Drosophila melanogaster: one gene and its partner. The protein of the gene in region 1 interacts with the protein of each later gene in a biochemical or structural test. Each region holds a gene or a part of one and is shown on either strand. Other genes may lie near its edges.

What was found. Proteins that work in one complex are often made in the same cells at the same time.
Region 2: of the proteins of orb2 (region 1) and LIMK1, one has a biochemical effect on the other in vitro, tested with the Drosophila melanogaster proteins (one study listed by BioGRID).

Annotation. Positions count from the first base shown.
Region 1 is NT_037436.4:8,951,131-8,954,888, forward strand, and holds the start of orb2 (orb2), read right to left. Parts: upstream 2,105-3,758; 5' UTR 1,689-2,104; intron 1-1,688. UniProt on the Drosophila melanogaster protein: RNA-binding protein involved in translational regulation and required for long-term memory. Required in mushroom body gamma neurons for long-term memory in male courtship. Binds to mRNA 3'-UTRs.
Region 2 is NC_004354.4:12,590,286-12,594,043, reverse strand, and holds the start of LIMK1 (LIM domain kinase 1), read left to right. Parts: upstream 1-1,850; 5' UTR 1,851-2,113; intron 2,114-3,559; 5' UTR 3,560-3,595; coding exon 3,596-3,758. Other genes in the region: CG1824 (uncharacterized protein), read left to right, coding at 1-168, 432-1,037, 1,096-1,344. UniProt on the Drosophila melanogaster protein: Protein kinase which regulates actin filament dynamics. Phosphorylates and inactivates the actin binding/depolymerizing factor tsr/cofilin, thereby stabilizing the actin cytoskeleton.

The sequences.
Region 1 (3,758 bases):
CTATTATAATGTGGTCAAAGTATTATTATAAATAATTCAATAAAATATTTTAATCATAAATAAAGTATTGTTCCAAAATACTCGAAAAAAAACTGTTTTTGAACAAAATATTGCCTACTTAAAGGAGCATTTACATATGATATGTATTGTTTTCTTCTTAAGCTTCTTACATTTTAAGTCCAAAAATAAGATATGCAAAGTATCTGAAAATTTCGTTGAGTGCACTAAACTATCCAATTTCTAAAGCTTTTCGTCTGTCCCTGGACACGCACTTCATTTTGGGCTGAGCGACCGGAAAACGTCTATTGTTCTGAAAAAGGGGGGAGATGGGCAGACAGAGGCTCTTAATTAGTTAAATGCGGAGAGACAACGAAATCGCTGTGCCAATGAAATGGCTCAGTCGGGCATGAAAAACAGACCGCAGGTGCCCCACACTTTTCCAGTTTTTGAAACTGGGCTGGGGATGTAGACAAAAGGAAAATAAAACTGGCATAATCAATACACAATTTTGCCCTACAAACGAGACGAGAGCGACCCCCAAAAAATAGCCGAAGAAGGAACGACGACGACGTACAGCAATAACAACAACAAAGACAGTAACGCCCCCATGGAGCGCACACACACACACACACCACGAAGCACTCACATACACACAGGCGTATCACACGCACACTTCAAAAGTAAACAAGTGTAATGTGCCGCCAAAAGCACAGACTGCTTGGCTCAGCTTCAAAAAGAGCGGCGGCTTAGGATTGGGGCATTATTTTAGGGGTACTTTCCCAAGTTTCACAGCTTCTTCTACAAAATATACTTGGCAGTAGTTAAGGAGTTATTTTCTAGATCAGTTTTTCTTTTTTTTTACATCTTTGGTTTTCTGTATTTTTTAGTTGGTATTGAATTTAACATTTCTTTATTGTATCGTTTTCAAAATTTATTTAGTTTTTCCATTTAGGGTGTGCAGCAGCGAATAGTAAATCTTAACTCGTATTTGTTGATAATGCTTTAAAGTGATACGAAGAAACCCATTAAAAAACTACCCCTGAATGTGGCCAAGTGTTAATTTATAAAACCAGTTATTCTACCTGCCACCCCAAAAAATTCGAAATTTTGTTTACCAACTCGAGAGCTCAGAAACCGAGAAAAGTGGAAGAGCCGCTCATCTTCAACTGAAATGCAATTGTATCTTTGTATCTCTATCTGTAGCTATGAGTGTGCAAACAAATTTGGTTGAAAGGCTCTTGGCAAATGAAGTTTGTTTTTGTTTGTCATGCTGCTGCTGCTGTTTTTTATTCTCCCCTTTTTGGTTTTGGTCCCACACCCACCCCTCTGGAAATATTATGCTTTGTGTGCACTTCTATTATCACGTCTGCAATTAGAGCCAAAGTAACTGGGCCAAGTTGCAGCTTTCAGCCAGCTTTTCTCGTGCTTGCTTCACGGGGTTGGAGATTTTTTAGGGGTTTATTGCGGCGTTTGCTTTGCTCCACCGATTCGTTGCCGTATTTGCCAGTTGCCCCAGTTCCAATTGGTTACGTACACACTCTCTCACACACACACACTCGCACGCACACTCACTTAATATACACACGCGCTGACGGTAGATAATGCCAGCCCTGGATAAAAACTGGGGCAAATAAGTCCGAATTTTAAATAGGATTTTTGACAGGTGCACTGAATAGCGGATAACTAACCTTTTGCTGCGTTATTCAATTTATTTTTTTTTGTGTTATGTCGAATGCCGAGAGCGCACGAAGATGGAAAACACGACGAAAACTTTCAGGTGCAAGTTTTTCCTGCGCCAGTGTGCGTGTTACATTTCCGGGGGTGCACACTCACACAAACGCACAGCCTGTGACGTAGGAAAATTCCTTTGCACTCGATTCTCTCTTTCCGTACAACGGTAACTATTTTTAACACAGCACTAATAAGCGATTTACACTGGTAATTTTTGGTTATAAAACGATTTTAACTATTTACACTTTTGACTAATTTACGCTATTTAGTTGCATTTAATTTTCAAATTTAAGAAGAGCGCCCTGACGCGTTGTTTTCTTTCCTGATTTTCCCGAGCTGCGGTCCCTTCCGCTCGTCAGCAACGACTGTGATGCCAAAAGTTTTCACTGCTGCCCGCTTTTCCACGAAGCTGCCACTCGCCCGAAGACGCACGACGAAAAATCAATCATTCTCGCTTGTTTTGCTTTCGTGCGATGCACTGTAGGCTTAATGGTACCTTTTTGTGGCCAAAATTAATAACTTTAAATCGGAGAGATATTTTGTTTATGTTATTTGCATTGGGTGACACTAGCCCATATCTTTTATAGTACCAAAAATTCTGGTCGTGGCACCGCCCCTTATATTAAATTAACTCGTTTTTTTATTGAGATTTCTCTATTTTCAGTTTAAATCTCAAGTTAAACATAAGTTTTTGTTTCAGCTAATATACCTAAAAGCGCTATTTACAACACTCAATTACAGAATGGAGTTTTGGCCACAAAAAGGTACCATTCAGCCTATAGTGCGTTGTTTGGAACCCCTTCTGCCATAACAAACCATCCAACGAGCCAATCGATTTATCGATAACTTTACATGTCACTCGTAATTAGCAAGGAAAATAAATAATGGCCCCAATGTTGTAATAATTAAGCTAAGCACAGCAATTATGTGTAATTCAGCCCTATAGAAAATTATATAAAGCGCTATGTTGTCTGGCAACGCCACAGCTGTTTTCATAGCGCAGAAACAACAACAAAGACTGGTCAAAAAGAGCACACACACAAGTGAATTACATAAATCTGCATTACTTACAATAACAAAACAGCTCCAACGATCCAAATGGATATTTGTTTATATCCGCGTTCTTTTGGCAGCAGCACAAACGCACACAACCACGCACATTCAACGACACACGCGCTGCGAATTTGTTATTGTCTTATTGTGTTCTCCTCTTTCTGTTGCGTTTCGCGTTTGGCCAAATCTTTCAAATAATTGCACAAAAACACTGACGAACAACATGCGAAACCACAAAATATACGTGTACGCTGTGTCCTTCTCGCTAATTAAATATTTTACAAAAATATGTTCATGTTTTTGTTTTTTCCCGTGTGTGATATTTTCTACAAATTTTTCTATCGAGAGAACGAAAGCTAATAAGACAAGGAAACGGACGAGACTCAGAATTTCATCGAAATTCGTCGCCTGCTACACGGCGAAGCTTATTATTTCAGAATAGAAGTATTGTTTAAATATTTACCTAATGGCAACAATGGAAACTATTAACAAAAAAATTTAATCTTTCACTGATATGCCCTTATGCCCTTATTACTACAGCGATATACCGCAAGCAAAGTTATCGATATACCACAATACCACAAACAGCTGACACGTTAGAGTTGGGCAACTTCGCTGTTTATTAAGCGGGCTTTTTAAAATCTCTAAAATCATCTTTAATAGAAGGTTGTACATTTTGTCCGTATGTTCTTCTTTATTCTTACTCATACTTCTAAAAGCTTACTCTCAATGGCTGTGATTGGGTAAATCCCAAATTCTTCTTGTGGGAGTGTTGTCGCTCTTCTCTAAACATTGGCAAAAAAATCTCAAATAAATATTACACTTAGAAAATACTACCATTAAAGATATTTATATATAAAAACACCAAAATTATTGTATTTTACTTTTTATTTTCTTGATTAAATCGCCCATTGTTATTTTTAGCTACGATGGCACATACTTGCTTCAACATAGGCTTTAGACTTTAGAATCTG
Region 2 (3,758 bases), on another chromosome or scaffold:
CTGGGCACCATGATCAGAGGCATGTCGGCCGGCAGTCGAGTCTTCGAGTTCCTATCGCTGCAGCCACAGGTGGAATTGCTGCGCGGCTACATCATCCCGCAGGAGCGGCTGCACGGCGAGATTCGATTCGAGAACGTCTCATTCGCATATCCCATGCAACCCGATCATGTGAGTTGTATTAAAGTATATCTTCATTTCATTCTCGAGACAATGATGGCATATTTACATTAATCGATGCTCTGTAATTTGTAAACTCGCCACTTTTTTATATAATATTGAATAACTTCTTATCGCTTCCGCAAGTAGATAACCATTTTATAATACCCACAAACATTTATGGCCAATATTTACGGCTAAGTGATAAAAAGATTAGAGTCTAGGCAATGCAAACAGTAATGAACTTCCTATGTCAATTTTTGCTTCATTCACAGCTGGTGCTCAAGGACTTTAGCCTGACGCTCCGCCCGGGCCAGACGGTGGCCCTGGTGGGAGCCAGTGGATCGGGCAAGTCGACGATAGCGTCGCTGGTGGAACGCTTCTACGAACCATCGGCGGGCAATATCAAACTGGACGGCTACAAGCTGTCGGACATATCGCCCTATTGGCTGCGGTCCAATGTCCTCGGTTTCATCGAACAGCAGCCGGTGCTGTTTGGCACATCGATATTGGAGAACATCCGATATGGTAAACCAGATGCGGGCGAGGAGGATGTGTATGCGGCAGCGCGTCTATCACAATCGCACGACTTTGTGACCGCCCTGCCCGATGGATATGCGACGCATGTGGGCGAACGGGGCACCCAGTTGAGCGGCGGTCAGCGGCAACGCATCGCCATTGCACGGGCGCTGCTCAAGAATCCGCGCATCCTCATCCTCGACGAGGCGACGAGTGCCTTGGACGCCACCAGCGAGGCGGAAGTGCAGAAGGCACTCGATACAGTGGTCCAGAATCGCACCACTCTGGTGATTGCCCATCGCTTGTCCACGATACGAAACGCTGACCTCATTGTCGTCCTTGATCAGGGACGCGTCGTGGAGGTGAGTTGTCCTAGACCATTGGTATCTTCAGAAATATTTATATTTTCCCTTGTTTTAGACCGGCAAACATGACGAACTGATGGGCAAGCGGGGCCTGTACTTTGAGCTGGTGCGTCAGCAGGAACGACGGGACATCCAGGAGCAAGTCCAGGCGGTGGAGGACGTTGTGGCCGTCAAGGAGCAGCAGGCAACTGCAACAGAAACTTCAACAGCCGCAACAATTGCAACTGCCGCAGAAACTTCCGCAGCAACAGTGACAGTGGGGAGCAGCAGCTTCGGTGGCAGGGCAAACGCAGCGCAAGGATAGTGACGATGTTAGGCAAATTGAATGATTCCCTATACACTTAATTTAATATTCTTATAATGTTTTCACTTTTTTTTTTGTTTTCAACTGACCAAAAACAAAAATGGTGAGAGACGCTAACAATAAGTATACAATAAAATAAACGCTGAAGACAGTATTGTTTTTGTTATAAACAGAAAGTATTTCATTGTCATTATCGCTAAATTCACCGGGTTCATTAAAAATAGATGGGATGCGTGAACTTAAATTAAAGTTTGAAAAACTGAATATAAAACACTTGAAATCCCAATTTCCGTTAAATAATATATTCAATGGGACCGCATTATTTCTACAACCATACTCATATACGGTCACTCGAAGATTAAAGAAAAACTATTTCAATATTCAATTCTGTTCAATATTTCTTGTTAGTGACAAGCAGCGTGTTTATAATAAAAAATTTGTTCATTAAAGAGTTTATATATTTTTTAAGTTGATTGGCAGCTAGACGATAGTTTTGAGATTCTTTAATGACAGTCCTACGGTCACACTGGCTGAATTGTATTTTATTTTGTGTAGTTTTGTTGTTGTTTTGTTTATTATGCATTTCTTTTTTATTGTTTGAGTTAGCGAGCTGTGCGTCGCGTCGGCATTTAAACAAAATCCGCGGCATTTCGGTAGTTGCGATTAATAATTGCTTGGCGGGAATTACAGTCGAATAAGAAATTGGCGAGGAAAAACCAACAAATGTGCAATGTGCGTCAAGTCAATAGCAATACAAACGAACAATTATGTAAGTGTGTGTGTGTGTTTGGTTTAGTTTAGTGTACAAGTCCAGCAAAAAACAATAAAATCTAAGTAAAAAACCAGTTGTTGTTGCTATTGGCTTTGCTAATGTCGTGTTGTTCCCGTTCCCCCACACACATTTTCTAACAGCGCGTGCATGTGTGTGTGTGTGTGTGTGTGTGCAGCACCTGTACGCGTGTGTGTGTGTGCTTCTGCCTCCGCACAGTGGACACATTCCTGAATTTTGGAGTCCAAAAATATGCAAATTGCCTGAGTGAATTAATTGACTTAATTAACAAAAATTGGACCGCAAGTTATGATAACCATAGTTGATTAAACGGAATTAGTTTCTAGCGGGACTAGTGCGACAAATACTCAAACTTACTTGATTTTTTACCATTCGTTCCATTCGTAAACCTAGCTTGTCTTGGCTATTTTATAGACTTCAGTCAGGGTGGCACACCCACTCATTTCCAATCTCTTCAAAGCAAAATCACAGCACTGTGATATGGTTGGTTAAAGTAAAAGTTCAATGGGTTAAGCAGGTGATTAAAGGCACATTAACCCCTAATGGAGCTTGGACTGCACTTAACGCACGGCTCACATGTGACCACTGTGCGCGCGTGCAAGTGTGTGCGTGTGCATTCGTCATTCATTGGTCATGTTTATGCGGTCGGAAGAGGGACGTGCACAACAACTACAGTTAGCTCAGCTGAAGTGCAATTGCGATTGCAGTTGATCCAAAGAGTCGCGTTTGTTGTTGCATCAACCGGAGTTTTCACGGTCAATGTTGAGCTATATCCATAAATACACAAACATTCATGTGTATTTGCATATACATATGTATGTCCATATGCATATATCCATGGATTATGCATGCAAATCGATGATGGAAATCAGGCGGTATAGCGAATTCCGATGGGGGGCAGCTGACTCAGGATCGAAGTCTTTATCACTGAACCCTAAACTAATGACTACCGGACTCAATTATTTTGTTTTGTTCGGTCATTTTGTTTAGTACGCAAAAATATTTACATGGCTATCGCTTTAGCAATAAAGTTCGAATTGCTGTCCCAGTATATCATAAAAAATCACGGAGAGTTTTGAATGCAATTGGTTTTGAAAAATGCCAAACCTTCCTATCATTAACACTTAAATCAGTTAGAAAAACTAATATAATACTATATTAGTTGATAATAAATGCATTTCATGTATGATATCATTGTAGATATCTTTTTTCTCAACGTTAATGATAATGGGTAAAGATAGCTTATTTATAGACCTACATTGCCTATATGATATTTGCTTAGTTTCCACTGGTTCATATCGACCTGTTGACGATAATTGGCCAAGTTCCGTGACTGCTGGTCTATATTTACTATATTTAATACCTATTCCGTCATCGACTAATACCTTTTTTTTAACCTCCCGCCCCCCTGCTCTTTACCCACAGTGCTAACGTGATCGGGCCAAGGCACAAAAACATTCCATGCATCATCAGCAGCGCCTGCGGGCAAATGGCGGACGAGGAGGCACTGGATTGGGCGCAGGATCAGGACCTGTGTCCGGAGGACACTCACCATTGTGCGCCCATTGTCGGGGTCAACTACTGCCACATCCAGAGGAGCCAATCGTGATGGCTCTCGGCCAGC